Linked DNA regions of Daphnia pulex. Each later gene encodes a partner of the first gene's protein in a complex. Links are inferred from orthologs where the notes say so. Each region holds a gene or a part of one and is shown in the gene's direction. Other genes may lie near its edges. The genes, in order: BUD13 homolog, RING-type E3 ubiquitin-protein ligase PPIL2-like, pre-mRNA-splicing factor CWC22 homolog, 116 kDa U5 small nuclear ribonucleoprotein component-like, E3 ubiquitin-protein ligase RNF113A-like, smad nuclear interacting protein 1-like and pleiotropic regulator 1-like.

Region 1 (3,320 bases):
TGTCATCAATAAAACAACGATAGAAATTTAATTTCACCTCGACAGTTCCGTTAGCTGAATAAGCGTTAAAATTGGGTTGAACTAACGGAGAGAATTCTTCGCTGGAAAAGAGTGGCGTCTGACGTCCTGAGGTGGTGAAGTTCACCTTGCCGTTGGAGTCGAGTAGCGAGACCTGATTGGGGTTGCTCATGTCTGGGTAGGAAAGCAGCACCTTGTAAGGAACCAATTGGACTTCGTCTAATCCTCCCTCGACGAAACGATCGCGCACCCAACTAGCCACTTCCAAATCCTGTGGAGTTCCAGCTAAATTCGGTATACTGCTCAAATATCTGTGACAATCATTTTGGGAGTTAATTAGACAATGAATCAAATTTGTCTTTTGATTAGCGATGATGTTGGACTTACTTGAGATATTCGCCAATATTTGATGCACTGAGCTCCTCCATCAAAGTGGCAGACATTTTCGCCTTCTGAGGCGACACGTCGTCCCTATCATTTCCGATAGCGTAACGACCGATGAGAATTCCTTTGTCAGGTGGAAAGATGAAGTCAAACCAACACATACAGTAACATTTCAAATGATTACGATACCTATGATAAGACAAATTACAGAAGCCGTGCAAATTAAAATCCAGTTGGGTTTTTGCGCCATCGTTTCGCTGCGATCACTTCTCCACACCCTTCCGTTCTCGTTTACTGTACCTCAAATAATAACGACGGTTTGAAAAGAAACAGGTTATTAAATAGCTGAAAATATGACAATGAAAGCACGGGAAGTGCGGGTAGAAAGTCGGGTTCGAGATTGCGTGTTCCATATGCAGCGGCACGCAAATACCTGGACAGTAACTAAGGTGATTTGACAAGCCAACCAGACCATCGGTTGCTTGTGGTTTAACACAAGACAGGTCGCATGCTTAACTGACGGGTGACTCTTGTAAAAAATGTAAACGCCATAGGCAATGAATACATTTCTTTAAAATCGCTATTACATAAATCTATTTTTTTTAAACAATTTTTTTTATTTTGAAAACTTCCCGATAGATGGTGTATAGTTTCACGCGTTAACCATAGGTGGAGCTTGTATTCATATTTCGTGTGAAAGCGTTGACAAACGCGAGGGATTACGGTTTGTAAATATTCCCCTGAAATTATTGTAAAAATGAGTGCTCCTATGAGCAAATTAGAATATCTGAAAAAGTACATGTCCTCTTCGAAAAAAGAAGAAAATAAAGTCAAGAAAAAGAAACTCAGGCCCTTACTGAAAGCCAAAGGGTAAGTCAGGCTTTTTGTGAACTTTAGACAATACACATCATTTTTTAATTTTAACTTAAGCTTTTTCTTAATCTAGTCAATTTGTTTTCATTTACTTATTAGGGGCATCAAGATCGTTGATGAAGAAATAGATTTGAGGAAGATAGCTGCAGGATACGAGAAAGATGAAGACCAAATTGACAACCAAGAAGATGCTCCTCTGGTGGCTGGGGTTGTCGATAATCGTTCCATAGAAATGATAACCAAACAAGACTTTGTGGAAAGTTCAAAGTGGAAGAGACTTGGTGTGGATGAAAATGACAAACCAAAATCCATGTCTAAATCAAGTGATCGAGATATTGATTCAAGTGACAGTCACTTACCAAGGAAAGATTCCACTGCCTTGAAACGACCAATCACAGTGAAGAAAGAAAGACATGATTCAGATTCAGATCCCAGTCCTCCACGTAGAAGACACGATTCTGATTCAGATGCCAGCCCACCTAGAAGAAAGCGCCATGATTCAGACTCTGATCCATCTCCACTTAGAAGAACGAGAAAAGACTCTGATCAAAGCCCACCACGAAAACGTCACGATTCAGACTCAGATGCTAGTCCTCCTCGAAGAACAAGGAAAGACTCGGATCAAAGCCCACAACGAAAGCGACACGATTCAGACTCGGACCAAAGTCCATTAAGAAGGCGTAAAGGCTCCGATTCCGACCAGAGTCCACCAAGAAAGCATCAAAATGCTGACGGTGATCTCAGTCCTCCGCGGCGGAAGAAAAACGTTGATTCCGGTGCCCAAATGCGCATCAAACCAGATCCAGACGGAGACCTCAGCCCTGAGCGTCCTAATAAATCAACATCACGCAGCGGAGGAGCTTCGGAGAAACTGACCAAAACCCTAGATGGAAAGATGGCCGGCCTTCAGACTGGCAGAGCTTTGCGTGAGGAGACTGATGCATTACGCAAGAGAGAAGAGGAAGCCTTCCGCAAAATGGACAAATCACTCACTGGGCAGAACGCCACGACTGCCATCCGAGCTGGCAAGCTGCGCCAAATTGAAGCCAAGCAACAGGTTGATAAAGAAAAAGCCGAGAAGATTGCCAAGCTGCAAGAAGCTTACCAAAAATGGAACAAGGGTCTTAAACAAGGAGAAACGCATTCGACGCAAGTTGCCGAAGCCATTCACGAAATGTCCAAACCGCTGGCTCGTTTCGCCGATGACGAAGATTTGGAAAGGTTGTTACGCGAACAAGATCGTGAAGGTGATCCCATGGCTGCTTACATGGCCAAGAAAAAGGTCAAGAGCGGTGGTGACGGCAAGGGGAAAGCCGCTAGACCTGTCTACAGGGGCCCTGCTGCTGCTCCCAATCGTTTCGGTATACTACCCGGCTACAGATGGGACGGGGTTGACCGCTCGACTGGCTACGAGAAGATGTACTTTGAAAAACAAAACAACGCCGTGGCCCTTCAGGAGGAAGCCTACAAATGGAGTGTATCCGACATGTGATTCCGATGATGAATTTACCTTGACTGAATAAAGCCATGCAATTACTTTTAGTAGCCAATGACGCCTGTCCTTGTTCTTAACATTTCCCTTTTTATTACCTCGACGGAATGGGGCCCATCCATCAACATTCAAAATTGCAGGGTTTTTTTCAGATTCAACGAGAGGCGCGCGGAGGAAATTCCATGCGGATGGCGTCAACACTTTGCACATTTTCCGAGTCGCGACTCTACCAGCAGTTCGTGAAAGTTGCCCAACCCATGTTGTAGAGGAGGTGCGGCTATTCATGAATCGTCCGTCGTGGTTGAATCGGAAAATTCTATCCGGAAGATGACACCCTTTCCGGCCTTGGCTGCCTTCAAATCATTTTTCTTCTGTTGTTCAGCAGCAGAAAAAGAAAAGAAAGAAAAGGCGTTGGGGTCGTTTCTGTTGAGTGTGTCGAGTGCGCTATGGCCAGATGGCGCTTTGGCTGAGTGTGTCGAAAGAGAAGGGAGGAAGGTCACGGCACGAAGTGGGCCGGCCGTTTTCAGGTGTGCCCTGTTGTCCGTGTTGTCTA
Region 2 (4,295 bases), on another chromosome or scaffold:
TCCATCTTGTGGGTGTCAGACGGGCCGAGAATAATAAGGGGGAAATCATAATAAGTTTGGGTCAAGAATACAAATGAACCGGAAAATTCTGTCAATGGAGTATACCTGTCATATAATAGTTACCGCGGCTATTGTTCCAACATTTTCTTAACTAACATTTTAAACTTTTTTTGTTTTTTCTATTGTTGGACGTCACGGACAGAAATGGCTATGCTGTTACCGGCTTCGTTTGGTGCCAGCCGCCGGATGAACGACAGCCACGACATCCGCAAGAATCTGCGCTTCCGCAACGCTGAGCTCGCCCAGGAGCACCCGGAAGGTTCCACCAACGAGTGAGGATACATACCTATAAACAATCAAGCCACAAAATTTAAGAAATTTTCGACACCAATGATTGCTCTTCAATTGGACGTTGAAAATTGGCGCATACATGTTGCAATAACACTTCCGTCTTTATTCAGTTACTGCGTGACATTCGAGCTGACCAAAGTGTCCAAGGCCTGCCACAAAGAGAAAGTGTTCAACTCTCTTACTGACGGTAATTGACTTCCGGAATAATAATATCCGGATGGAAATATCATTTTTCAAAAATTGTGTTTTGATACATTTATTTTATTTTATTCCTTTTCGTGGTTTAGGCGGCGTCGTCTGTGTTCGATGTGAACACAAGGCTACTCGTGACTATTTGGGAGGCCGTTGCGGTGGTCACGGAGTGCCGGGTAGAATTACACGCTGGACATCGCTGACCAACGTCGAGTGCCATGGCAAATGGCTCAGACGTCCGGATGAATCTCACGAGGTTTCCAGCTCGACTTGTTCGTGCGACGAGGACGCTCTGTTAATTTTCGTTTAGGTCTCAACACAAGAGACGCAAACTATAAGGAAACGAACAAGGAAGAAGATCAATTTTAAACAAAATCTCCTTAAATTTGTTATGCTACCACATTAATTATTTCTATTTTTTTTTCTTTGTCTTTCGAATCATTCTTTTTTTTTACCTAAAATATTCGATCTGAGGGTGGTTTAATTAAAAAAAACGCGAATGAAACGAGCGAAAGCTAGAACAAAAAAATTAACTGTCGACCCACCCATCGAGTTTAATGCGAGTGTGAAAATACACAGAAAGGGAAATTTCCATAGAACCAATTTATTCACTTAATCTTTTGTTTGCTGTCAGCTGCCTAGTCTATAGTGGAGTCTAGCAATTATTATGCATTGTTGACTTTCATATCGCTTAGGCTTAGCCGTCTTCTTTGAATGGTTCCTCTTAATTATCTTATCTCGAATCATTTTGAGGCTTTTATGAAGGTCGATCCTGGCCCCCTAGTGGCTGAACGTCCAACGACCAATATTTCATCATTTAATTTGGCCAATGAAATTCTTGATGATGTGATCGTTGGATGTTATTTTTCGTACATAAAATTTTTTTTTAAATGGTAGAACAATTCAATAATCGTTATAAAAAGACAAAAAGTTTAAAAGTTTAAGTCGAGCGGTTGAAGCTTGAAGGGTAAGCAGACGACGTTCAAGACAGTGTGCCAAAACAACAAGTCGGTTTATTAGTCGTTTGGCGTTCTATTCCATAAACTGAAAAAAGTTTGCTCGATTTTAATTTGTGTATTTCACAGAGAACTTTGATACTGTTTTTCTTCATCAAAGCGTGAAAACTATCTGAAAATGGGAAAACGACAACACCAGAAAGATAAAATGCAAGTTCTAAGATATTTCAATTTGAATGATATGTTTAGTATGAAAACACTAACTAGTTTACTATCTTATATTTAGGTACTTGACAAGTACAGAGTGGAGCACATTGTATGGTGGGAAGAAGCCTGTTAATCCAAATAGTGCCAGTGCTTCATTTCGACGACTTCCATATGATCACTGTGCCTTGTCACTTCAGCTTTTTGAGAATCCTTTGTGTGACACTGAAGGAAATGTTTTCGACCTTCTTGCTATAGTTCCATACTTGAAAAAGTATAAAACTAATCCAGTAACAGGAAAAGTAAGTTTTGCTTATGGGTATTGCATGTTTGCTTCATCCGATAAACTTGAACTAGAAAGGCATGTTTATGAGAATTTAATTTTTCTAGCCATTGGAAAGCAAAGCCCTTCTGAGGTTAAATTATCATAAAAATGCTGAAGGGGCATACCATTGCCCTGTATTGTTCAAGCAGTTCACAGACAAATCCCACATTGTGGCCATCAGAACTACTGGAAATGTGTTCTCCTATGAGGCAGTAGAGCAACTCAATCTGAAGCCCAAAAACTGGAAAGAGTTGTTAACAGATGAAACATTTGCTCGTCAAGACATTATCACTCTTCAAGACCCATCTCACCTAGAAAAGTTTAACATCGCTAAATTTTATCATGTAACGCATGACCAAAAAATCGAAAATGAAGGTAATTTGTTGTCTTATTGATTATAGACTTAACAACGCCAATTGATTTGCTTTCATAAATATGATTCTCTCTACTAGAATTAATAAGGGCCAAAACCGATCCTGCAGCCCGTCTCAAATACATCAATGCAGAAACGAAGGGAGTTTTGGCAGAATTAGAACAGGAATACAAGGCACCTGAAGAGACTGTAACTGTAAAAGCAGTAGCTGATTCCATTAATGCGGTAATTTGATTCAGTTAAAGTTTTAAATTTATCCCTTTTATTTATTATTATTTTCGTTTTTATAACTTGTTTATAAAACAAAAAAAAACTATCAGGCTCATTATTCCACCGGGGCTGTCGCTGCTGGTTTTACTTCTACGGTGATGGCACCAGAAACTAAGCATGAACCAGCAATTCTCGATGAAAGTATCGTTCGATATCAGCGCATTAAGAAAAAAGGTTAAAGTAGTTTCTTGTAATGAATTCTTCACAAACCATCTAAATTTGTTTTTATTTCATCAATTTAATTTCTTAGGTTATGTTAGACTAGTTACAAATGTCGGGCCTCTTAATTTAGAGTTACATTGTGAAATGGTACCTAAAACGTGTGAAAATTTCGTCAACCTGTGCAAAAAAGGCTACTACAACAACACCAAGTTTCATCGGTCTATCAAGCATTTCATGGTACTGTAGATCTCAACGTGATCACGGGCTGTTACAGAGATTTCCTAACAAAAATTTTCCAGATTCAAGGTGGCGATCCCACTGGAACTGGTACCGGAGGAGAGTCTTGCTGGGGAGGATCATTTGAAGATGAATTTAAGCCGAATCTATCCCACACCGGTCGGGGTATTTTATCGATGGCGAACTCGGGAACCAACACTAATAAATCTCAGTTGTACGTTTAAATTATCTAGTTCTATGCATACATTACGCATCAATTTGATTATTACTCTTTCAGTTTTATCACCTATCGCTCGTGTAAACATCTGGACGGAAAGCACACAATATTCGGTCGTGTCGTGGGTGGAATGGAAACTTTGAGCGCTATGGAACGAATTGGTACTGACAATAAAGATCGACCCGTAGAAGAGATTATTATTGAGTCGTCACAGATATTTACAGACCCATATGCCGAAGTAGACGAAAAGGTTGCCGAGAAAATCAATTCAACCTTAGAAGCAAAATTTACTTTTGTTTTTACATTTTAGTTGGTGATTGAGAGAGCCGCAGCGCTAGAAGAAGCTGAGAGACAGTTGAAGGAAGCAAAGGCTTCCATCCCTAAAGCCCAGCTTAAGGTTTTCAAACAATCTGGTGTAGGAAAATACATCAACCCTAAAGCTTTCACCAACAAGTATATCTTTAATTTTCTATTAAATAAAATAGTTTCATTGCAGCTTATTATTATTTTTTTTTATAGACCAGCTGATTCGGCTGGAGAAGAATCCGGCAGTTCTCAACATAAAAAAGCTAAAACATCTGCTAACTATTCATTTGGTAATTTCAGTAATTGGTGACCTTCCCGGATATTGGATTATTCTTTGCTTACTTGTGGCTGATTTTTTAAAAATAAACTCTTTCTCGAACACTTGTTCTTATCAAATTGTATGTCATTTTTTTTACTCAATAATTCTGTAGCAATTAAAAATAAAAATCGAAAAAGGGGAAGGAAGGGTTCACAATTTTACTGACTTTTTTTTATATGCGACGGCAACGCAGCATTGTCCTCTCGTCTGCCAAAACGACACACGATGGATGACAAACCGGTAAGCAAACCACATTTATGATAAATAATAATTTGTTAAATTACGCGTTCAATAATCAATGTCTTTTGGTGATTTGTTTTCTAGTTAGCGAAAGCGCTGAAAGATTTACCCTTGAGGGTACAATCAGCCAGCTATCTCGAACG
Region 3 (4,015 bases), on another chromosome or scaffold:
AAAATGTAAGTGTTGAAAAATGCTTTACATTGACATAATAGATGAAATAGGCTTTACTTCAGACACGGAAGCATCTTCGCTGGATCCTTTGGAAACACCAGCTACCTCTTTCATGTCAACATCGATGTTTAAGTCAGCAACAGGTCCATAAGATGACACTGACTGATCATTGGTGAGGATAGCAACTGCTTCATTTAGATCATTCTTGGCTAAACGTAAAGCTCGTTTGATTTCTCCGATGTCCGGAAATCCCATGGCCATTAACGTGCTGATATTTTCGTCTTCGACGTCCATGACGTCTTCTCTCCGGCGTTTTAAAATTTTTATTGTTTATCTGAAGAGGAAACAAATACAAAATTAGAACATATCACGATGCACGATGAGTGTATCCCAAGCACTCTGCGCATTTTTTTTTTTGTTTTTTTGTTATCTTACTACGATCACAAGAGGCACGAACTCCTTCGCGGAGCTTTTTGAAATTCTTCTATACACATAGGATAAACTGCATGGAGGAGTGGCAAACAAATGTTAGCGGTAGGCAGGCCCCTTGTCAAATGCGCCCTCCCTATTAAACCGTGGGCGCTGACATCTTTGACATGTTGCCAGCTCATTCATTCCTCTAAACAGTGGTTTCAGACGGATTCGACTTTTAGAAAAAATGCTTAATGATTTTTTACCACATAATTTCAATTGAAAGTATGAAATCTCTTTAACAAATCTTCGTGGCTGCCTGTTTTTATTGTTTCATAGCGGTTAGTAATACCTATTTTAAAACTAGGAACTCGCAGGACTAGCGAAAACATGCGAAAATATTTCAAAAATTGAAATAATTATTCTTTTAACGATCCTTTATAACTCTGATTTCACCAGTAACTATTTTAAAAATTCTACACGAAATACGAAGACCTGAGAAGGCTCAGCGCTTAACGCTGCCACAAAGCTGATAAACAATTTAAACAAGTTATCGAAAAAGTCCAAAAAGTATTTGATGGTTGCTCGCTGCTCGGGGCAGAATATTTATTCAATTATTCCTTTTCCAATAAATTTTAAACAAATTTTCATTAATGAGGAAGTGGTTGATTACAAGAAGATTCTTAATTCTTATTTTTTGTCACGTTTGTCTCTTTGCCTGCCTTTGCGATAAACCCGATAAGGCATAAGGCGACAAGCCGACAACCAATGAAATCGAACAAGCTGCCCAAACGCAGGTGGCGCATTAGTGGTAGAATTGTAAGCAAACGGCAATACCGCAATATGGCAATAGGCATTAAGCCAAGGAAGCAAACGTAAAAAAGCAGTTGTTTCTCAGCGTGTTGCGATTGCAATTTTCTATTCATCCAAACAGTATAACATCTGTTAAGTGATATTTTCAAATTAATTTCCCTTCATCTGTCACAATAATCCTTCAGATGGAAAGTGTCGTCAAAGCTGTTGGTTTACCCGTAAATTTCTTAGAAGAAGTCGACGATGATTTGGAAGATGAACGAGACGAAAAAGCTCCAGCAAAGCCCGATAGCAATATTCGGAAACGACGGTATAGTTCAGAGGAGGAATACAGAAGAGAAAGGTAGACAACTGTACCAAAAGTGTTACAAGTAACAAATTAATTTACTTCATATTCATTTTTTTATCAGGAAAAAAAACTATGAAATAGGCACACGCTATTGGGGAGATGAAGGCCCTAGAGATAACTACACACAACATTCAAGAGAACAAGATCAACATTCAAGAAAAAGAGAAAATCAATTGAAAAAGGATGACAGAAAAACTAGTGAACAAGGTCCTTTAAATGAAGAGGATACTAAAGAGCCTAAGAGAGTTAAAGAAATGGATCCAGTGCTGACACGAACCGGAGGAGCTTACATTCCTCCTGCCAAGTTAAGAATGATGCAAGCCCAAATAACTGACAAGTCAAGCTTAGCTTTTCAGCGTTTATCTTGGGAGGCTCTCAAAAAATCCATTCATGGATTAATCAATAAAGTCAATGTGTCAAATATCCCATTGATTATAACATCCTTGTTCAAAGAAAATATTGTTAGGGGACGTGGTCTTCTAACTAGGTCCATCATTCAGGCACAAGCTGCATCACCAACATTTACACATGTCTATGCAGCCCTTGCTGCATTAATCAATTCCAAAGTATAAACGTGATTTATATTAATTCATGTATTTAATTTAATTCACATCACATTTGTTGATGTTTCAGTTTCCTAACATAGGTGAACTGCTATTATCTCGCCTTATTCTTCAATTTCGCCGTGGGTTTCGTCGAAATGACAAACAAATATGTATGAGTTCGACAAGATTCATAGCACATCTGGTGAACCAACAAGTGGTAATATTGAAATTTTGCTCTCATGTTTTGTTTTTCAAATGCACTGAAAATTTTTCTTGGTATTTTAGGCACATGAGCTTTTGGCTCTAGAAATTTTAACTCTTCTGTTAGAAAATGCAACTGATGATTCAGTTGAAGTCGCGGTTGGATTTTTGAAAGAATGTGGTCAAAAGTTAGGTGAAGTCTCCCCTCGAGGATTAACTGCTGTCTTCGATCGCCTCCGTCATGTTTTACACGAAGCTGACTTAGACAAACGCGTGAAGTACATGATTGAAGTAATGTTTCAAGTACGAAAGGATGGCTTTAAGGACAACCCTGCTATCGTGGAAGATTTGGATTTGGTGGAAGAAGAAGATCAATTCACTCATTTGATGTCGATACAAGAAGAAGAATTGGATCCCCAGGATATGTTGAGTAATAAGTTGCTATTAATGGATTTAAAAAATATCTGTATTCCTCAATCTACCAAGTTAGTTTACTGGGCTTAAATTTTTATTTATTTTTAAAATAATCTTTGACTGTAATGAGCCCCAAGTTCCGTGCTTTTCTTAAACTGTTAATAGTAGATTTTATATGTCTATCTCCACTTTGATACCACTAACTGTTTCGCGTATTTTTGTAGATGTTTTCAAGCACGACCCGGATTATGAAGCCAACGAAGAAAAGTACCAAGCTGTCAAAACAGAAATTATTGGAGATAATTCGGGCGAATCAGACGGTTCTGGAGAAGAAAATGATGAATCTGATGGAGATAGTGCTTCGGAGGAGGAAGCAAAAGGTAAGAATAGCATATACTTTTACTTGGGTCGATTCAATTTGTATGTTTTTAATTTTGTTTTTTTAGAACAAGGCGATATTGTTGACGAGACGGAGACAAACCTTATTGCTCTTCGACGCGTTATTTACCTTACTATTCAGAGCAGTTTAGATCACAATGAATGTGCCCATAAAATGATGAAAATGCAAATGAAACCTGGACAAGAAACTGAGTTATGCCATATGATCTTGGATTGCTGCACCCAACAAAGGACGTATGAAAAATTTTTCGGCCTTTTAGCCCAGGTACGATTTCTTATTAAATAAAAAACTATTCAAGTATATCAATTTTCTTTTCGGTGTATTAGAGATTTTGCCAGATTAATAAGGCATACATACCACCATTCGAGCAAATATTTCATGATACATACGACACAATTCATCGGCTGGATACTAACAAGCTTCGCAATGTAGCCAAAATGTTTGCCCATTTACTTTTCACAGATGCCATCAGTTGGCAAGTGATGGCTAACATTCGACTAACTGAAGAAGATACTACAAGCTCTTCGAGAATATTTCTTAAAATTTTATTTCAAGAAATGGCAGAGTACATGGGTCTCAGCAAGCTAAATCTTCGCCTCAAAGACCCGTCAGTGCACCAACTATTTTTTAAACATCTTGTTTGGTTATACGTCACCAATTTAATTTTTTTAATATTTTCGTTTTAGGACTTTGCAACCGTATTTTGAAGGAGTTTTCCCTCGCGATGATCCTCGCAACACTCGATTTGCCATTAATTTCTTTACTTCCATCGGTCTAGGAGGGTTGACGTAAGTTTTTCTATCTCGTTGATAGATTCTTTAAGATTAATTAATAATTTTGTGTTGCGTTGGATGGGACGTTTCAATTATGTAGAGACGAACT
Region 4 (4,280 bases), on another chromosome or scaffold:
ACGCTGTTGTTGTTGTTGTTTGTTCCATCACCAATCGGCCAATGTCTAAACGTTTTCTTTTTGTCTTTTTTTCGCGTCTAGCCAAAATGAATCCCGACCGATGTCTGAGTTGCCGAATTTTATAATTGGGGTGGAGATTGTTGGCTCGACCAATGTCGAGGTCTAATAACATTCCGTCATCACCACGAGACTTGATTAACAATCAATCATTTCGTAAGTCTAATGTGTCCAGGAGTCCAGTGAACTACAATCGCTTCATCCATGTCGAAGGGTATTGTGTAGTAATGAATGCCGTCCAATAATCATTGCGATCCATTAAGCCTTGACTCCCGACAGACTACACCGCCGTGGCAATGCACACCGGACAGTATAGTGACCCCCCCGCAGACACAAAAAAGATGATGGATAGAAATTTAAAAAGAGAAAAACAAAACAAACCAAAAAAAAAAAAAATCTCAGTCAGAGTCTGTCGGGCTATTGATTGGACACCCCCACGGAAAATTCACGCACGAGGAATAAGGAGGAGGAAGTCGATTGCTGCTGTTGGCCAAGTCTAAATGTGTGCAGCGACATTCAACCGGGTACATTCTATCCGCCTACACAATGGATGACATTGCTGCAAACAACAAAAACAGAACAAGCAACTCGAAGCATCGCCGATAACGGTGATTATATCCCGAATAAAAAAAAAAAAAAGAACCATCAACCGAGAACCCATGGACAGAAGGAGAACTCTAGTTGGGCTGGGCTGGGCTGGTCTACATCACCGAATGGCCGGCATTGATTTTGTCGATCTGCCCATATCATCCCAAGTATTTTTTGGGTTTTTTTTTTGTGATTTCCTTTTGGCAACAACAAACCAACAAGCGAATATATAAATCGGGGTCGCTCGTCTGTAGACTCGTCTGCAGATAAAGACGTCTAATATATCTTTCCATACGAGTCGGCAGCAATAAATCATATAAGGGCACTTGCCCATCCAGGGGGCTTCCATCGCCCGGCAAAACTGAAATTCTGCACTGTGTGCGTAGACATCAGACGACTGCTGAGATTTATTCCGTTATTCAATTCAAAAACATGACGGCATTTTACTCCTTATTTCGCCCGCTTTGATTGATATTATCGCCCGTGTTCGACTGACTTTGTTTCTCCTACAAAATGTTTTTTTCCGTCGTGGACCCGACCTGATAGCGACTGACACGTCATCTATATAAATTCACAACTAGATTTCAGTTTCCAGTGCACAAGCAAAAAAACAGCGCCAGAAACATTTCCTTATTCGGGTAGGGAAAACCCCGCCCTCAACGGGATTCCCATTTGCATTTTATTACGCTGTGAATTTTTTTTTTCTCTTTTATTTTATTTTTATTTATTTATTTTTATTTTTATTTATTTTATTCATTTTATTTTATTTTCATTTTTTTTGCCACTCATAATCCACCTGCTAGCTGGTAGATGGCGCTGTTCTTAAATTCAGATTTCATTGGCACCCGCTAGATGTCGCTAGTGTCGCTCGTTTTGAGCGCGTGCAAATCTGTACGCATAGTAAACGCATTTTCTTGAAAGGCCCGGCTTTTCTGAAATTCCCTTTTGAAACAGCTTTATAACTGTGAGTGTTGGGTTAAGCCGAATACCGATCGACAACATCCAAAGTATCTGCCCAATTTACAGACAGCAAACGACTCAGTTGACTGTCAAGAATGGACGCCGATCTCTACGACGAATTCGGCAATTACATTGGACCCGAACTCGAGTCAGATGAAGACGAAAATGAGGAAGGAGACGAGGCTGATCACGATGACGAAGCCGAAGACTATGGTGACAATGATTCCGAAGAGGCCATGGATCAAACGGTGGTTGATGGCGACGCACAGATGGCCATTGTTTTGCATGAAGACAAAAAATACTATCCATCAGCGTTGGAGGTTTACGGACCTGGTGTGGAGACACTGGTGCAGGAAGAAGATGCTCAGCCCTTGACTGAACCCATCATCGCACCTGTCAAACGAAGGAAGTTTCAGGTACCACAAATTGTTTCGCTGCCATATTTCATTTTGTTGATTAACCTGTTTCCACCCATTTTCATTAGGTTGCTGAGCAAGAACTCCCTGAAACCACGTATAACATGGAGTTTTTGGCTGATCTCATGGACTCTGCAGAACTTATTCGTTCAGTGGCCCTTGTTGGTCATTTGCACCATGGCAAGACTTCCTTCATGGATTGTCTGCTCATGCAAACACACCCAGATCTCCAGACGGGAAAACCTGGCAGTGGAGAGGAGAAGCCTGTCAGATACACAGACACACTCTTTACTGAACAAGAGAGAGGTGTTTCCATCAAAGCGACGCCCATTACCGTGGTCATGCCCGACCTGAACGAAAAATCCTTCCTCCTCAACATGTTCGACACACCTGGTAAATTACAGTTTTCCAACTTGCAAAATGGGGGGGAAAAATGTATTTAATCGATTTTGATGTTTCTTAAAGGTCACGTCAACTTCTCAGATGAAGTCACGGCTGCCCTGAGACTTTGCGATGGTATCGTCCTCTTTGTCGACGCTGTCGAGGGTGTCATGCTCAACACGGAACGAATCTTGAAGCACGCCGTCCAGGTAATTAAAAAAAAAAAAAAACTTCAACTTGGTTATTCCAAGAATTTCTTTTTAACCCTGTCCTTTCATAGGAGAAAATGGCCATCACAGTTTGCATCAACAAAATCGATCGACTCATTTTGGAGCTCAAGCTGCCACCTCAGGACGCATATTACAAGTTGCGCTACATCATTGAAGAGATCAACGGTCTTTTGGGCCTGTACAGCGACGAAGAGAATCCAAAATTCGTGTCGCCCTTGTTGGGCAACGTCTGCTTTGCTTCTGCCCAGTTCTCCGTTTGCTTCACCCTTAAATCCTTCGCCAAACTTTACAGTGACACGTACGCACACGTCCACAATGGCAATGACGGTCTTAAATGAAACTTCATTTTCTTTCATTTTAGATACGGATCCGATATCAACGACAACGAGTTAGCACGTCGTCTGTGGGGTGACATTTACTTCAACAGCAAGACGAGAAAGTTCACCAAAAAGCCGCCACATAGCTCGGCTCAGCGAAGTTTCATCGAGTTCATTTTAGAGCCGTTGTACAAAATCTTTGCCCAGGCATGTACCAAGGACAACTTTGCAGTTAATTTGAACAGTTGATTCATTTCCAATATTTTTTGCTTGTTTAGGTTGTGGGAGATTTGGATTCGAGTCTACCGCAGTTGCTGGACGAACTTGGCATTCGCCTGACTGTCGAGGAACAGCGGTTAAACACTCGCCCCTTGTTGAGACTGGTCTGCAGTCGCTACCTGGGCACTTTCAGCGGTATGTCAATTAAAATGTATGTTGAATTGAAGCAACGGTCTTTAAATGTCAATGTTTGACTGGTGTGTGTAGGTTTCGTGGAAATGTGCGTCAAACACGTCCCGTCGCCCGTAACGGCTGCTCGCACCAAAGTGGAACACATTTACACAGGTCCCCTGGAGTCCATCCTGGGCGAAGACATGGTCAACTGTGATCCCAACGGCCAACTGGTTGTCCATACTACCAAACAGTATCCCACAGAGGACTGCACTGGATTCTATGTCCTGGGTCGTGTCCTGAGTGGGACCCTTCACGCTCACCAGAACGTCCGACTCCTGGGTGAAAACTATTCGCTCAATGACGAAGAAGATTCACGTGTGTTGACGATCGGTCGACTTTGGATATACGAGGCCCGTTACAAGATCGAAGTCAATAGAGTAACGGCAGGCAGTTGGGTCTTGATCGAAGGGATCGATGCCTCAGTGGTCAAGACGTCGACCATCGTCCAGGTTCACGTCGACGAGGACTTGTACATTTGCCGACCCTTGAAATTCAACACGCAATCCATCATCAAAATTGCCGTTGAGCCGGTGAATCCCAGCGAATTGCCCAAGATGTTGGACGGTCTGCGTAAGGTTAACAAATCTTACCCGTTGCTCTCGACGCGAGTGGAGGAGTCGGGCGAGCACGTTATTCTTGGAACAGGCGAACTTTACCTGGACTGTGTCATGCACGATCTCAGGAAAATGTACTCGGAAATCGACATTAAAGGTTTGCCATTCATTTCTTCCCAACTGTTAATTCTTCTAATTTAACTAATTCACTTTGGTTTTTCTTGTAGTTGCTGATCCTGTGGTGTCTTTTTGCGAAACGGTCGTGGAAACGTCCTCACTGAAATGTTTTGCCGAAACTCCAAACAAAAAGAATAAAATCACAAT
Region 5 (3,697 bases), on another chromosome or scaffold:
TTCATAAAAGGGCAGCAGCCCCATTAGAACGCGCGCGTAACTTGTGTGTGCTGTGTAAAGGATTGATCCTGCTGCCGTGCTGGCCCTTCTCTCAAAAGCCCCTTTTATACGTGTATAGTAGTGTAGCATGTGGATATTATATATCTTGTCTGGATCATTCAGCTTCTGTATAAATAGGCCCTCGCTTTATGCATAACATGTATCTATCATTGAGTCCCTATTTATAGCCTCCTCCCCTCTTTGCATAGAACGAAACGGTATATCTGCAAAACTGTGCTGCAATAAGTCAATGTGCCAATCCTGCTGGAGGAGGAAGTCAAAGTTTGGCTAGATGGGCTTTTCAGTCAGCGACAAGTTTGACCGAAAAATTACTTATACGGTACGGCGAAATAAAAATATTTTTTGTTTTAAATGAATAGGTATAGATATTGTAGTGCAGTATAGGTGTATAAATGGAGTCGGAGGATGGAGATCAAGTAGCTTTTCATCGGACGGTGAAGCGCTTCGTGCACTTTTGCGGCCGGGTTTTCTGGCCTGCGCGTTCCTTATTATTTCAACTTGATGAAAAGTGCTGGGCTAATTAAGGCGCTGTAAGGGAATCATCAAGCGAACGGCCCCCAGCAGCTAGCAGTCTGCTGATGATATAGAAATAATAAGCGCGACATCGGGCAAAGACGAAAGAGGCCCGCGGAGAACAAGCCCCCAAAAACCAGCAAAAAGAAAAAAGTAGACGAACGAAGAGGAGATAACAGTTCAGTGGCCGCCGCCCCACCCAGAAAAAAAAAATTAATAAAAATTGGGTAGGGGAATTAAGAAAATAGAATTATTATTCAGTCATATGTGGCGAAAAGGTTCTTAAAAGCTTCGGCAGTCTTTTCTAATTGATCGCCAGCAGAAGCGTATATAGTGCGTATTATTATTTCGAGGAGAAGAAAGAAGAAGGTCCTCAGACTCTGTGATGCGCCGAGCACATCTATACATATATACACGCCACCAGATTATTAGAGGGGAACCTACTAATTAATGAAAGGATGCTCCTTTTTGTACTGCCTGTGTGTAATCGAGTCGCCAGAGATTTTTAAGTAACGTGATTCTTCCCCCCATCCATTTCATTTGCACAAGGAAAATAAATCACCAAGGCATATGGAAATGATTAGAAGAAGACCATAAGAAATGACGACGATGCCTAATAATAATGATGTAAAGCAATAAGATATGTCGATTTTATTTTTCCAAAACAAATGCAAAATAGCAAAACCCGTAGTAGTAGTAGTAGAAACGGATGACGTTAAGATATATTCAAAGTCTCAAGCGGGTTTTCGGGGTCGGATCATTAATACCGACATCGTAGATGACAAATCTGGATCACAATAATAAAAGCTTTTGTGTGTGTGTGTGTGCATAGTTCTCTATGTACTAGTCTCTGTTGCTGTGCATATATATGTAAATCTGCAGCAGATCCCTTGCTGCGTATTCAATCAGTCATCAAGAACCCAATTAGAGGAATCAGACAACAGTGCACCGGTAATCCTTTTGAAAAGCCGACGACGAGAAGACGGAAGGATTTTTATTTTATTGTTCTCGTTTGTTGACAAGTCAAAATACATTTTTATATACAAAAAAGGAAAGCTTGATCCAACAAGAAAATCCACAAACAAACAAAAATGGCCGACGACAATAAAGTTTGCACGTTTACATTCAAGAAACGAAGAGGAGGAGGAGCCGCCATGAGGAGAAAAGCTGATGATGACAAGAAAAGCAGCAGCGAAGATGAAACTGTTGTTGCTCGAGTGGGGAAAAAGGAATCGGCTGGACTTCTTTCGGCTAAAACTGTGAGTTATTGAAAGTCTCTGCAAAAAGAATTTGTGTTTCTCATCGTGTTTTTTTCTTTTGGGGTTGACAGTTCAAATCCACGAAAAAGTCCCGTCAAGAAATCCAAAACAGCTCTGATGAGGAAGTCAAGGAAAAGGTCACAGTCGTCTTCCAGTCTGACAGAAGTGCTGAGAACAAGAAAGACGATCTTGCCACTTCCACAGTTCAGATCGACACTGCCGTCGATCAAGATGCCAGGACAATTTTTGAGAAATCTTTACAAAGTAGGTCAACTTTTTTATTTAAAATGAACCAAAATAATGTTTTGTTTCTTTGACAGTCCAGCAGGAGCTGAAAGGCAAAGCAGATGACAAGAAATATCGTGGCCTTGCTAACTATGCCCAGTACTACGAGAAAAGAGATACAGCCCAAGGAAATGCTGCATCTGCCAATGTGAGAAAAGGCCCCATGCGAGCCCCAGCCAACATCAGGTCAACAGTGAGATGGGATTACCAACCAGATCTTTGTAAAGATTACAAGGAAACGGGTTTCTGCGGTTTCGGAGGTATTCAAAATCTAACCAAAAGTTTTTGGGGTTATTATCATCATTCAGTTGAACTTTTATAAAGCTTTGCTGTGTTTTATTAGACAGTTGTAAGTTCTTGCACGACCGTTCCGATTATAAATTCGGATGGCAGTTGGAGCGAGAAGAAAGGGGAAAAGGTGAGCCGGCCGAAGACGACTCAAAGTATGAAATACACTCGGACGACGAAGATTTGCCCTTCAAGTGTTTCATCTGTCGCGAGTCGTTCCAACATCCCGTTGTCTCCAAGTAATAAAGACTCTCTCCTATTCATTTATAAGAAGGAGAATTTAACGCAAATTTTGACACGGCAGGTGTAAGCATTATTTCTGCGAGGCCTGCGCCTTGAAACATTACCGCAAATCGCAGCGGTGTTTTGTTTGCGGCAAACAAACTTTTGGTGTCTTTAACCCGGCAAAGAGCCTCATCGAGCGGCTCAAGTTGGAGGAAGAAGGCAAAACTTACAAGGAAGCAGACAGCGACGAGGAGCTCAACAACTTGGAATTGATTATGCAGCCGTCTGGCAGCACTACTGGTAAACCTACGGGAGCAACAGCAGATGTGGAGGAGCCCGTTACGGAGATTGAGCACATTCACTACGCAGACGAAGGAGTCGTGGCCAACGATACGGATTCAGATGATGACAGCGATTGAGGATAAGATCATCTTTATTTTTTCCCCCTACCATTCACGTGTAAGAATACATTATTTTGTAATTCCTTCTTTTTTAAATAATGCTTTCAATTGACGTATAAAGTGTATTTAACTTTAACGAGTGAATTTGCATAGGCACACAATTTAATTTTTGTTTAAATCATTTCATTAAAATTTATCAAGACTCATCTTCAGAGTCGTCCTCCTTCTCGATCAGTTTCCATTGCTCGGCGATTTCCAGGGTTGATTTGGCGCAGTCGCAAATTTTGGCCATTTCAGGTGTTTCTGTGTGCAGAGCGGATTCAAATGGGTTACAAAAAAGATTAGTTCAAGGCACCATGTCAAAAGTTTTAACTTAATCCTCTTTACCGAATTTGGTGAGAACTTCCAGGACCATAATAACCTCAGGTTGCAACAACTTTTCGGCCAACTCTTTCGAATGACTGGCGATGTTTTTGACGATAACAGCTCCTCGATATTGCACGTCTTTGTCCGTATTGCTCAGTAGGAAGCAAAGGATTTCTTTCCACTCTGTCGCCTATTGACAAATTTAACAAGAGAAAAAAAAAGTTAAAATCAATTCCAGGGAAAAAGTTAAAAAGAATGGAGGCAAACCTCGAAAACTTTCCGTGAAGCCCGTTTACTGAC
Region 6 (2,848 bases), on another chromosome or scaffold:
TAGATCCAATTGGATCACAATTGTTGAGAATCATCCACACTAATTCCTGTGTCCACGTCGTTCCTAAGTAAACAAATTCAAAGTTATCAATTTTATATGTGCGGGAGAATACGAAAAGTTAACACTTTCAAGATCCGAGAGATTTGTATTTGTTTGTTTCAAACTATGTGTTTTAAAATAGGCGGGGAGAAATACAAGGTTGCCATTTGGCTACTAGACTTTCAAGGCTACGGCCAAAAAAATTGATGACAAAGAAATAAATTGTGACGTAATAGCAGTAATTGCTAAACAAATACCACTAGGATATTTATTTTTACGAATTATTATTTTATAAAAATGTAGCTATTACATAAAAAAAATCTTAAAAATGATTGAAAAAGGATTTTACCGCATTTTGGAAAGGTTACTACCCAAACGTCGTCGCTTCTTGGTTGAAAACGTGAAATTTCTTTGGCATGGCGTGCATACTCATCCGTTAAGAGAAAACCACCAGGTTCGCTCTTCATCAGTCCATGCTGCTCGTAGTTTGTGAAGTGTTCTTTCAAGTCTCCATTCACTTCTACAGGATTGAATTTTATGTTCCACTCTGGAACAACTTCGGGAGGAACTGAAGGATTTTCGGGGTTTGTCATCGTGCGAGAGCTCAGACAACAAATGAAAACGCAACGGCAAAAAGGATCGAACAAAGACCGCGACGACTGAATGACACCGTGGCCTCCTTTTTTATACTCAACAGCGACTCAGCGAGTGCCACATCAAATTTTAACGATTTGGTTTTCGTCGTTAAATCAAATGCAAAATTATTAAATCCACGTAAATATGTATTACAATATCAGATATTTGATAATATTTATTTAAATATTTTACAACGACCCAACGAGCAAAAGAAAAATATACTTCTCTAACAACATAATTTTGATTTCGAAAATGTTATGCTGTAATCGATTACAAAAATTCTCAATTTGGCATACATAAGCATTACTCAATTTCTAAAACATTACATAAAAAAATGAGAATATAAATACATTAAAGAGCAGGCAGTGAGGCAGCAGAGAGCAGGTCCGCGGACGGCGGACCGCTAGCGGCTAGCCGTTTACAGGTGGTGGATGAAAGTAAATCTGGCAACGGTTACGAGTTGCGACACCATTTCATGTTGACAAGCCGAGAAACGAGTTGTATCAAACTGAAACTGAAACATTGAATTGATCTCGTTTTTTTGAGAAATACGCCAGAAACATTAAGGTAATTAGAGAGTACTTGTGCATATCTTGTTTTATTTCGTTTGGATCGCCATGGTAAAGCACAACGAAGACGAGAGGAGTCCCAAAAGGTCCCACGAACGAGGCCATGAAAGAGGCAAGACTCACAGACGTCGTGAAGAACGTGACTCTTCCCCACCACGAAAATCTTCACGAAGCGACCATTACCATTCAAGAAGTGATGACTATGAAAGAAGTCGGAAATCAGACAGCAGGAGACATGATTCACAAGTTTCACACAAAGAAAGTAATCGAAGAAATGACCCACCAATTCCAGTTAAAATCAAGAAAGAACCAGTTAGTGATGATGAACAAAGTTTCAGACGTCCACAACACAATGAAGGGCCTTCAAGACGGCATGAGCAACCACATTCAGAAGATCGACCACCAAGACCTTTTAAGCAGAGACGCAAAAGCCCCCGAAGTGAAGATGCTGAAGCAGCCAACTACCAGTATGGCCAACAAGTTAAAGATGAAGAAGAAGAAGGAACACTCGTTGAAAAGCAAAAACCCAACTTTGGTCTATCAGGAAAATTGACTGAAGAGAAGAATGTTTTCAATGGTGTGGTGGTCAAATACAGTGAACCACCTGAAGCCAGAATTCCCAAGCGACGGTGGCGTTTTTACGTCTTTAAAGGGGAAGAGGCATTGCCTACGTTGTACCTTCACCGTCAAAGCGCCTACTTAATCGGAAGAGATCGTAAAGTTGCTGATATTCCAATCGACCATCCCTCTTGCTCGAAACAGCACGCTGCGATCCAATTTCGGTTGGTAAACTACGAACGGCCTGATGGAACTGCAGGACGTACTGTCCGGCCATATATTATTGATCTGGAAGCAGCCAATGGTACTTTTGTAAATAATCAAAAAATTGAATCCAAACGTTACGTCGAATTGTTCGAGAAGGATGTGGTGAAGTTTGGCTTCAGTTCCCGCGAATATGTTCTCCTTCATGAAGAAAGCAAAACAGATGCTAGTTTGGACGATATGGGAGTGGGGCAGTGACACGTTGGTGACCAGCAATGTTTTGTATCATAACAATTTTCTTTTTTGAACGCCGCAATACACTTAATGTTTCTGCGAAAGGTATTCAATCGTCTTTAAGTGTTCTTTCATTTCATTTCCAGGTTTCACACATCAGTGGGGCTGTTCATGTTATTCGTAAGTTGTCACGTTAATTCAAATTTATAACTAAAGCAATTTTTACAACCAGTTGGTAACAGGTAACCAAAATTGCTGGTGTCATGAGACCTGTGGAACGACTGCTGGCCTCCTCAGCAAGACCGCCCAACATTCTAATATGTACGAGTGACAAAGAAGTTTTTCAGCAATATCGAGCCCTCTTTGAATCCACACTAGAGCCGGATTGGTATATAAACAGTATAGACATTTGATATCTGGATTCTTGATCTTAAACAATGTAACATTGATTGACAGTTATGCCCTTTACCATCTCGATGAACTCTCATTTCGTTCTAAAAAAGCTTGGCTAAGCAACACAAGCCTCCTAGTACTTGCTTCTCGATGGTCTGATAATGACTTGCACGATCCGCTGGAAGAGTACATCAAGAAGGGTGGTCAATGTCTTT
Region 7 (3,941 bases), on another chromosome or scaffold:
GAGAGTCTCCTCCGGTTCCGCCTCGGCTTCTTTCTTAGGCGTATTGACTTGTTGGATCTGATTCATCTCTTCCTTCTCCTTTTTGAGAAGTTCCTCATTTTCTGCTCGGATTTTCTTTAATTGCTCCATTTCTTGCCGGTCAATCTGGCGTTGGGAACGCCGCTTAGGTGAAGGTTGGCGCGTTGATCCACCACCACCACCTATACCCGTCGAAACGCTATCAGAACTATCAACTTCAGAACTCATCGCACTGTCGGCGTTTCTCGAGTTACTAATTGCCGGGCCATGCGCAGCTGAATAACAATGGTCAAGTGAGATGGACGCAACAGCCTCAGTGTCATCCGGAGCTGGATAGAAAAAACAATAATATAATCTAGATACACTTACTACTACTACACAAAGTTATTTGGCAAACCTCCTGTAAGTTCGGGATCAAGCAGGTCATCTAGACCAGCTTCTGGTGGGAGAATATTGTTGAAAAAAGCCCCAGCTTCTGCTTGTAATGCATGCTCAATTTTCTCGATCTCTTCCTGATCAAGAGCTAAGAGTGGATCTGTTGTTTCTAAAACTTGCTCACTAATTTTTGGCCCTGCTTTGACATTTCCATTAACTTGAGCAATTTCCTGGTCAGTTTCCATCAATTCTTCCTCGTTTTCCTTGAGTACAGGGCTAGAGACTGGGTTGAAATCTTCTTCTACAGTTATGTTGACATCAGTACTGCTGTCACCTGCAACATCATTGACTCTAACTACGCTTAGAGTTGTATTCTCTTGAGAGCCTGAAAATAAGGTAAATGAATAAAAACATGATTTCCCTCCAAAATGTGACGACTTACTAAGAAGTTGAAGTGTTTCCTGATCAACTGATATGTCACCAGTGTCATTATCAACAATAATGATTAGTGTGTTTCCAGCAGAGGAGCTATCGTCTGTGGTATCTGCCACAAAAGTACTCGACATGCTGTTGTCGAATTTGTAGCACACTTGTATCTAAATGTCAGTAAACGAGTAATCCAAAACGCGTCACTTATTGACCAGCTCGGAACGGCCCACTATCAAAGTTCAAACCAAAGCCACTAAAAACTTCACCCGATTCTATGGGCAACCACAAGCCCAAAACTTTTTTGTTGACAAACTTTGAAACTCCTGATTGCATCAAAATACACATAAACACCAAGCCGACTCATGGCTAGATGCCGCCATTTTGCGTTTTTTTTATATAAATCAATTTCAATGTGCCATGTTGCCGGCGACGCTTCCAATAGAAGCCATCTGGCGTGAATAATTACATCTTCTGTTAGTCACTAACAGATGGCGATTTGATCAGTACGTTAGACAACGCCGGCAACAATCGAGTACAAACCTCATGTAAATTTTGATTTGGTTTCGTTTTTACAATATAACAACAATCATGGGAGAGGTAAATTTTGCAATTAAAAAAATTATGAACAATTTCTAATTTACAAAATTTCATATCTCTACAGGATATTCAGAAGCATTCCGTGCATACGCTAGTGTTTCGATCACTGAAGAGAACCCACGACATGTTTCTGTCAGAAGAGGGTAGTCTACCTCCTCTTGATCAAAAAGCGTGTGTTGAAATAACTTTACATTGTTTCAACGTATTAAGTAACTCAATTCTATTTGATTATCTAGAGTGTCTGCCTGGCGATCATCAAAAGCTAAAGATACGTATGGTCCAATAGTTGAACTGGTCAGGAAACAACAAGAGATAGCGAAAAAAACAGGGCTTCCGGTAAATTACCCTGGAGGACAGCTTGCTCTAACTAACAAATCTGGTAATTTATTTTCCCCTATATTGATTGGAAATATGTATTTTTAAGTGGAATGTTTATTTTTTTACAGAACAAGATGGAGAGACCAGCCAAGCTTTGGCTCTTATGCCTTCAGGAACAATCGGGGGACATCAGATGCCACAATCTTCAGCAAATGTATCAACTGTTGGTATACCAGGCTATGCTGCAGGTGAGAAAAATATGCAGTCATTGTTTTCCCATCTATTTACTAAAAAAGAATCTTATTAGGTGGACCCACAAACAATACACAATCTTTAATAACCCGTAAAGCCCCAACAATGCCCAAGCCACAGTGGCATCCACCATGGAAACTTTGTCGTGTTATCAGTGGTCATATTGGTTGGGTACGCTGTGTAGCTGTTGATCCTACGAATGAATGGTTTTGCACAGGATCTGCTGACAGAGTTATTAAGGTAATTTATTCCTTACATTTATAAGAGTCAAGTTTTTCATTTTGAAATTCTTATAGATTTGGGATTTGGCCTCTGGACGGCTGAAACTTTCGCTTACAGGCCATGTCAGCACCGTCCGTGCTCTTCAAGTCAGCCCAAGACATCCGTACCTTTTCAGTGCTGGTGAAGATCGACAAGTGAAATGCTGGGATTTGGAGTACAACAAAGTAGCCATCACCATTTCAATTTACCGTGTAAGAAATATTAACAAAATCTTTTTCAGGTTATCCGGCACTACCACGGCCATTTGAGTGCCGTTTATAGTATGGCCCTTCATCCAACCATCGACGTTTTAGTAACTTGTGGTCGTGACTCTACTGCCCGTGTTTGGGACATGCGATCCAAAGCAAACATTCATACCCTAACTGGCCACACCAACACCGTAGCATCAGTTGTTTGTCAAGCAGCCGAACCTCAAGTATTCAAAGCAGTTTTCGACACTCATAATCCAGAATTTTAATTTTACCTTTCGAAACCATAGATTATTACTAGTAGTCATGACAGCACTATTCGATTATGGGATTTGGCGGCTGGCAGATCAATGGCTACTTTGACGAATCACAAGAAAAGTGTCCGGGCAGTGGCAATGCACCCTAACCTGTATGAAGCTAACCCATTATTTCACAACACATTGAATGTACAATTAATTTTAAAAAATTATGTTGCAGCTACATGTTTGCATCCGCCTCGCCGGATAATATCAAACAATGGAAGTGCCCCGAAGGCAAGTTTATTCAGAATCTTTCGGGCCACAATGCCATTCTTAATTGCCTTGCCATCAATGCTGACAACGTAATGGTATCGGGTGCTGATAACGGATCACTCCACTTCTGGGATTTCAAGACTGGATACAATTTCCAGCGCTCACAGGTATAAATGCATTTAGTTGAAACTGTGTTTTGAACGTTTCTTTAACTGTTCCTATTCAAATTTAAGGCCCCCGTGCAACCAGGCTCAATGGATAGTGAAGCTGGAGTATTTGCCATGGCCTTTGACCACAGTGGTTCACGTCTCATAACGGCCGAAGCAGATAAAACTATCAAAATCTACAAAGAGGACGACGAAGCTAATGAAGAGACACACCCCATCAACTGGAAGCCCGACTTATTAAAACGGCGTCGTTATTAACTCGCCATCTCCTGTACCGTACAATACAACTTGATTTTTAAACGATTTGTTGGCGCAAACTTGTATTATTACTTCAGTAATGTGCTGAGTTATTATGCGCTTATGGATTATTTATATTATGGATAGCTCGGGAATCCCAAGCTATCCCGAGTCGGGATAGCTTTAGCTTGTCAATTATATAATCACTGATTTCAGCGTGAATGTTTTAGGCAATCAAATAGTGATGAGGTTCTTAGCAATTTAGAATACCTACTTGAGAATAATTTAGGGTCACTCCTTGTTTGTGATAACGTATTAGCTTTCAACAAGCAGCCAAATGCCACACGTAAAGAACGAGTACATAAAAATCTTCTGGTTTTCAATTCATCCCAAAATGTAGTTAGAAAAAATATTGTTAAAAAATGTTAAGACTAGTCAAAGAAAACCTTTTGCTTCGTTGCATAACATTTAATTATTTAATTTACAAAGCTCACGTTTTCACGCGGTCTTAAATTTTGAAACACTGTATTTTGGCGGGAAAAATGGAAGGGAAACCGAGAACCCTG

What was found.
Region 2: BUD13 homolog (region 1) and RING-type E3 ubiquitin-protein ligase PPIL2-like share a complex: the UniProt entries of both Homo sapiens proteins name them as parts of the minor spliceosome. The link is inferred for Daphnia pulex from reciprocal best matches to the Homo sapiens genes BUD13 and PPIL2.
Region 3: BUD13 homolog (region 1) and pre-mRNA-splicing factor CWC22 homolog share a complex: the UniProt entries of both Homo sapiens proteins name them as parts of the minor spliceosome. The link is inferred for Daphnia pulex from reciprocal best matches to the Homo sapiens genes BUD13 and CWC22.
Region 4: BUD13 homolog (region 1) and 116 kDa U5 small nuclear ribonucleoprotein component-like share a complex: the UniProt entries of both Homo sapiens proteins name them as parts of the minor spliceosome. The link is inferred for Daphnia pulex from reciprocal best matches to the Homo sapiens genes BUD13 and EFTUD2.
Region 5: BUD13 homolog (region 1) and E3 ubiquitin-protein ligase RNF113A-like share a complex: the UniProt entries of both Homo sapiens proteins name them as parts of the minor spliceosome. The link is inferred for Daphnia pulex from reciprocal best matches to the Homo sapiens genes BUD13 and RNF113A.
Region 6: BUD13 homolog (region 1) and smad nuclear interacting protein 1-like share a complex: the UniProt entries of both Homo sapiens proteins name them as parts of the minor spliceosome. The link is inferred for Daphnia pulex from reciprocal best matches to the Homo sapiens genes BUD13 and SNIP1.
Region 7: BUD13 homolog (region 1) and pleiotropic regulator 1-like share a complex: the UniProt entries of both Homo sapiens proteins name them as parts of the minor spliceosome. The link is inferred for Daphnia pulex from reciprocal best matches to the Homo sapiens genes BUD13 and PLRG1.

Annotation. Positions count from the first base shown.
Region 1 is NC_060019.1:12,606,623-12,609,942, forward strand, and holds BUD13 homolog, read left to right. Parts: upstream 1-1,136; 5' UTR 1,137-1,159; coding exon 1,160-1,272; intron 1,273-1,374; coding exon 1,375-2,767; 3' UTR 2,768-2,820; downstream 2,821-3,320. Other genes in the region: glutamate carboxypeptidase 2-like, read right to left, coding at 38-329, 406-526, 592-652. UniProt on the Homo sapiens protein: Involved in pre-mRNA splicing as component of the activated spliceosome. As a component of the minor spliceosome, involved in the splicing of U12-type introns in pre-mRNAs.
Region 2 is NC_060022.1:781,495-785,789, forward strand, and holds RING-type E3 ubiquitin-protein ligase PPIL2-like, read left to right. Parts: upstream 1-1,495; 5' UTR 1,496-1,677; coding exon 1,678-1,709; intron 1,710-1,785; coding exon 1,786-2,005; intron 2,006-2,093; coding exon 2,094-2,403; intron 2,404-2,480; coding exon 2,481-2,626; intron 2,627-2,721; coding exon 2,722-2,845; intron 2,846-2,921; coding exon 2,922-3,070; intron 3,071-3,132; coding exon 3,133-3,284; intron 3,285-3,347; coding exon 3,348-3,537; intron 3,538-3,597; coding exon 3,598-3,740; intron 3,741-3,806; coding exon 3,807-3,903; 3' UTR 3,904-3,974; downstream 3,975-4,295. Other genes in the region: somatomedin-B and thrombospondin type-1 domain-containing protein-like, read left to right, coding at 203-332, 462-538, 639-853; eIF-2-alpha kinase activator GCN1-like, read left to right, coding at 4,138-4,152, 4,237-4,295. UniProt on the Homo sapiens protein: Has a ubiquitin-protein ligase activity acting as an E3 ubiquitin protein ligase or as an ubiquitin-ubiquitin ligase promoting elongation of ubiquitin chains on substrates.
Region 3 is NC_060018.1:7,249,499-7,253,513, forward strand, and holds the start of pre-mRNA-splicing factor CWC22 homolog, read left to right. Parts: upstream 1-1,215; 5' UTR 1,216-1,344; exon of another isoform or gene 1,345-1,409; coding exon 1,410-1,567; intron 1,568-1,634; coding exon 1,635-2,139; intron 2,140-2,206; coding exon 2,207-2,335; intron 2,336-2,403; coding exon 2,404-2,749; intron 2,750-2,957; coding exon 2,958-3,397; intron 3,398-3,459; coding exon 3,460-3,740; intron 3,741-3,819; coding exon 3,820-3,921; intron 3,922-4,006; coding exon 4,007-4,015. Other genes in the region: ubiquitin carboxyl-terminal hydrolase 24-like, read right to left, coding at 58-294. UniProt on the Homo sapiens protein: Required for pre-mRNA splicing as component of the spliceosome. As a component of the minor spliceosome, involved in the splicing of U12-type introns in pre-mRNAs. Promotes exon-junction complex (EJC) assembly.
Region 4 is NC_060028.1:8,367,501-8,371,780, forward strand, and holds the start of 116 kDa U5 small nuclear ribonucleoprotein component-like, read left to right. Parts: upstream 1-1,480; 5' UTR 1,481-1,700; coding exon 1,701-2,021; intron 2,022-2,089; coding exon 2,090-2,414; intron 2,415-2,486; coding exon 2,487-2,611; intron 2,612-2,682; coding exon 2,683-2,930; intron 2,931-2,993; coding exon 2,994-3,156; intron 3,157-3,227; coding exon 3,228-3,363; intron 3,364-3,435; coding exon 3,436-4,113; intron 4,114-4,183; coding exon 4,184-4,280. UniProt on the Homo sapiens protein: Required for pre-mRNA splicing as component of the spliceosome, including pre-catalytic, catalytic and post-catalytic spliceosomal complexes. Component of the U5 snRNP and the U4/U6-U5 tri-snRNP complex, a building block of the spliceosome.
Region 5 is NC_060022.1:4,929,451-4,933,147, reverse strand, and holds E3 ubiquitin-protein ligase RNF113A-like, read left to right. Parts: upstream 1-1,440; 5' UTR 1,441-1,664; coding exon 1,665-1,832; intron 1,833-1,903; coding exon 1,904-2,096; intron 2,097-2,152; coding exon 2,153-2,377; intron 2,378-2,460; coding exon 2,461-2,644; intron 2,645-2,709; coding exon 2,710-3,049; 3' UTR 3,050-3,197; downstream 3,198-3,697. Other genes in the region: protein unc-45 homolog B-like, read right to left, coding at 3,228-3,334, 3,419-3,587, 3,665-3,697. UniProt on the Homo sapiens protein: Required for pre-mRNA splicing as component of the spliceosome. As a component of the minor spliceosome, involved in the splicing of U12-type introns in pre-mRNAs. E3 ubiquitin-protein ligase that catalyzes the transfer of ubiquitin onto target proteins.
Region 6 is NC_060018.1:419,648-422,495, reverse strand, and holds smad nuclear interacting protein 1-like, read left to right. Parts: upstream 1-1,236; 5' UTR 1,237-1,292; coding exon 1,293-2,264; 3' UTR 2,265-2,348; downstream 2,349-2,848. Other genes in the region: sulfotransferase 1B1-like, read right to left, coding at 1-63, 389-632; biotin--protein ligase-like, read left to right, coding at 2,412-2,420, 2,483-2,628, 2,697-2,848. UniProt on the Homo sapiens protein: Required for pre-mRNA splicing as component of the spliceosome. As a component of the minor spliceosome, involved in the splicing of U12-type introns in pre-mRNAs. Down-regulates NF-kappa-B signaling by competing with RELA for CREBBP/EP300 binding.
Region 7 is NC_060021.1:1,388,871-1,392,811, reverse strand, and holds pleiotropic regulator 1-like, read left to right. Parts: upstream 1-1,293; 5' UTR 1,294-1,410; coding exon 1,411-1,419; intron 1,420-1,483; coding exon 1,484-1,590; intron 1,591-1,655; coding exon 1,656-1,798; intron 1,799-1,865; coding exon 1,866-1,985; intron 1,986-2,044; coding exon 2,045-2,229; intron 2,230-2,285; coding exon 2,286-2,435; intron 2,436-2,491; coding exon 2,492-2,686; intron 2,687-2,749; coding exon 2,750-2,868; intron 2,869-2,936; coding exon 2,937-3,138; intron 3,139-3,204; coding exon 3,205-3,396; 3' UTR 3,397-3,441; downstream 3,442-3,941. Other genes in the region: death-inducer obliterator 1-like, read right to left, coding at 1-347, 416-778, 836-959. UniProt on the Homo sapiens protein: Involved in pre-mRNA splicing as component of the spliceosome. Component of the PRP19-CDC5L complex that forms an integral part of the spliceosome and is required for activating pre-mRNA splicing.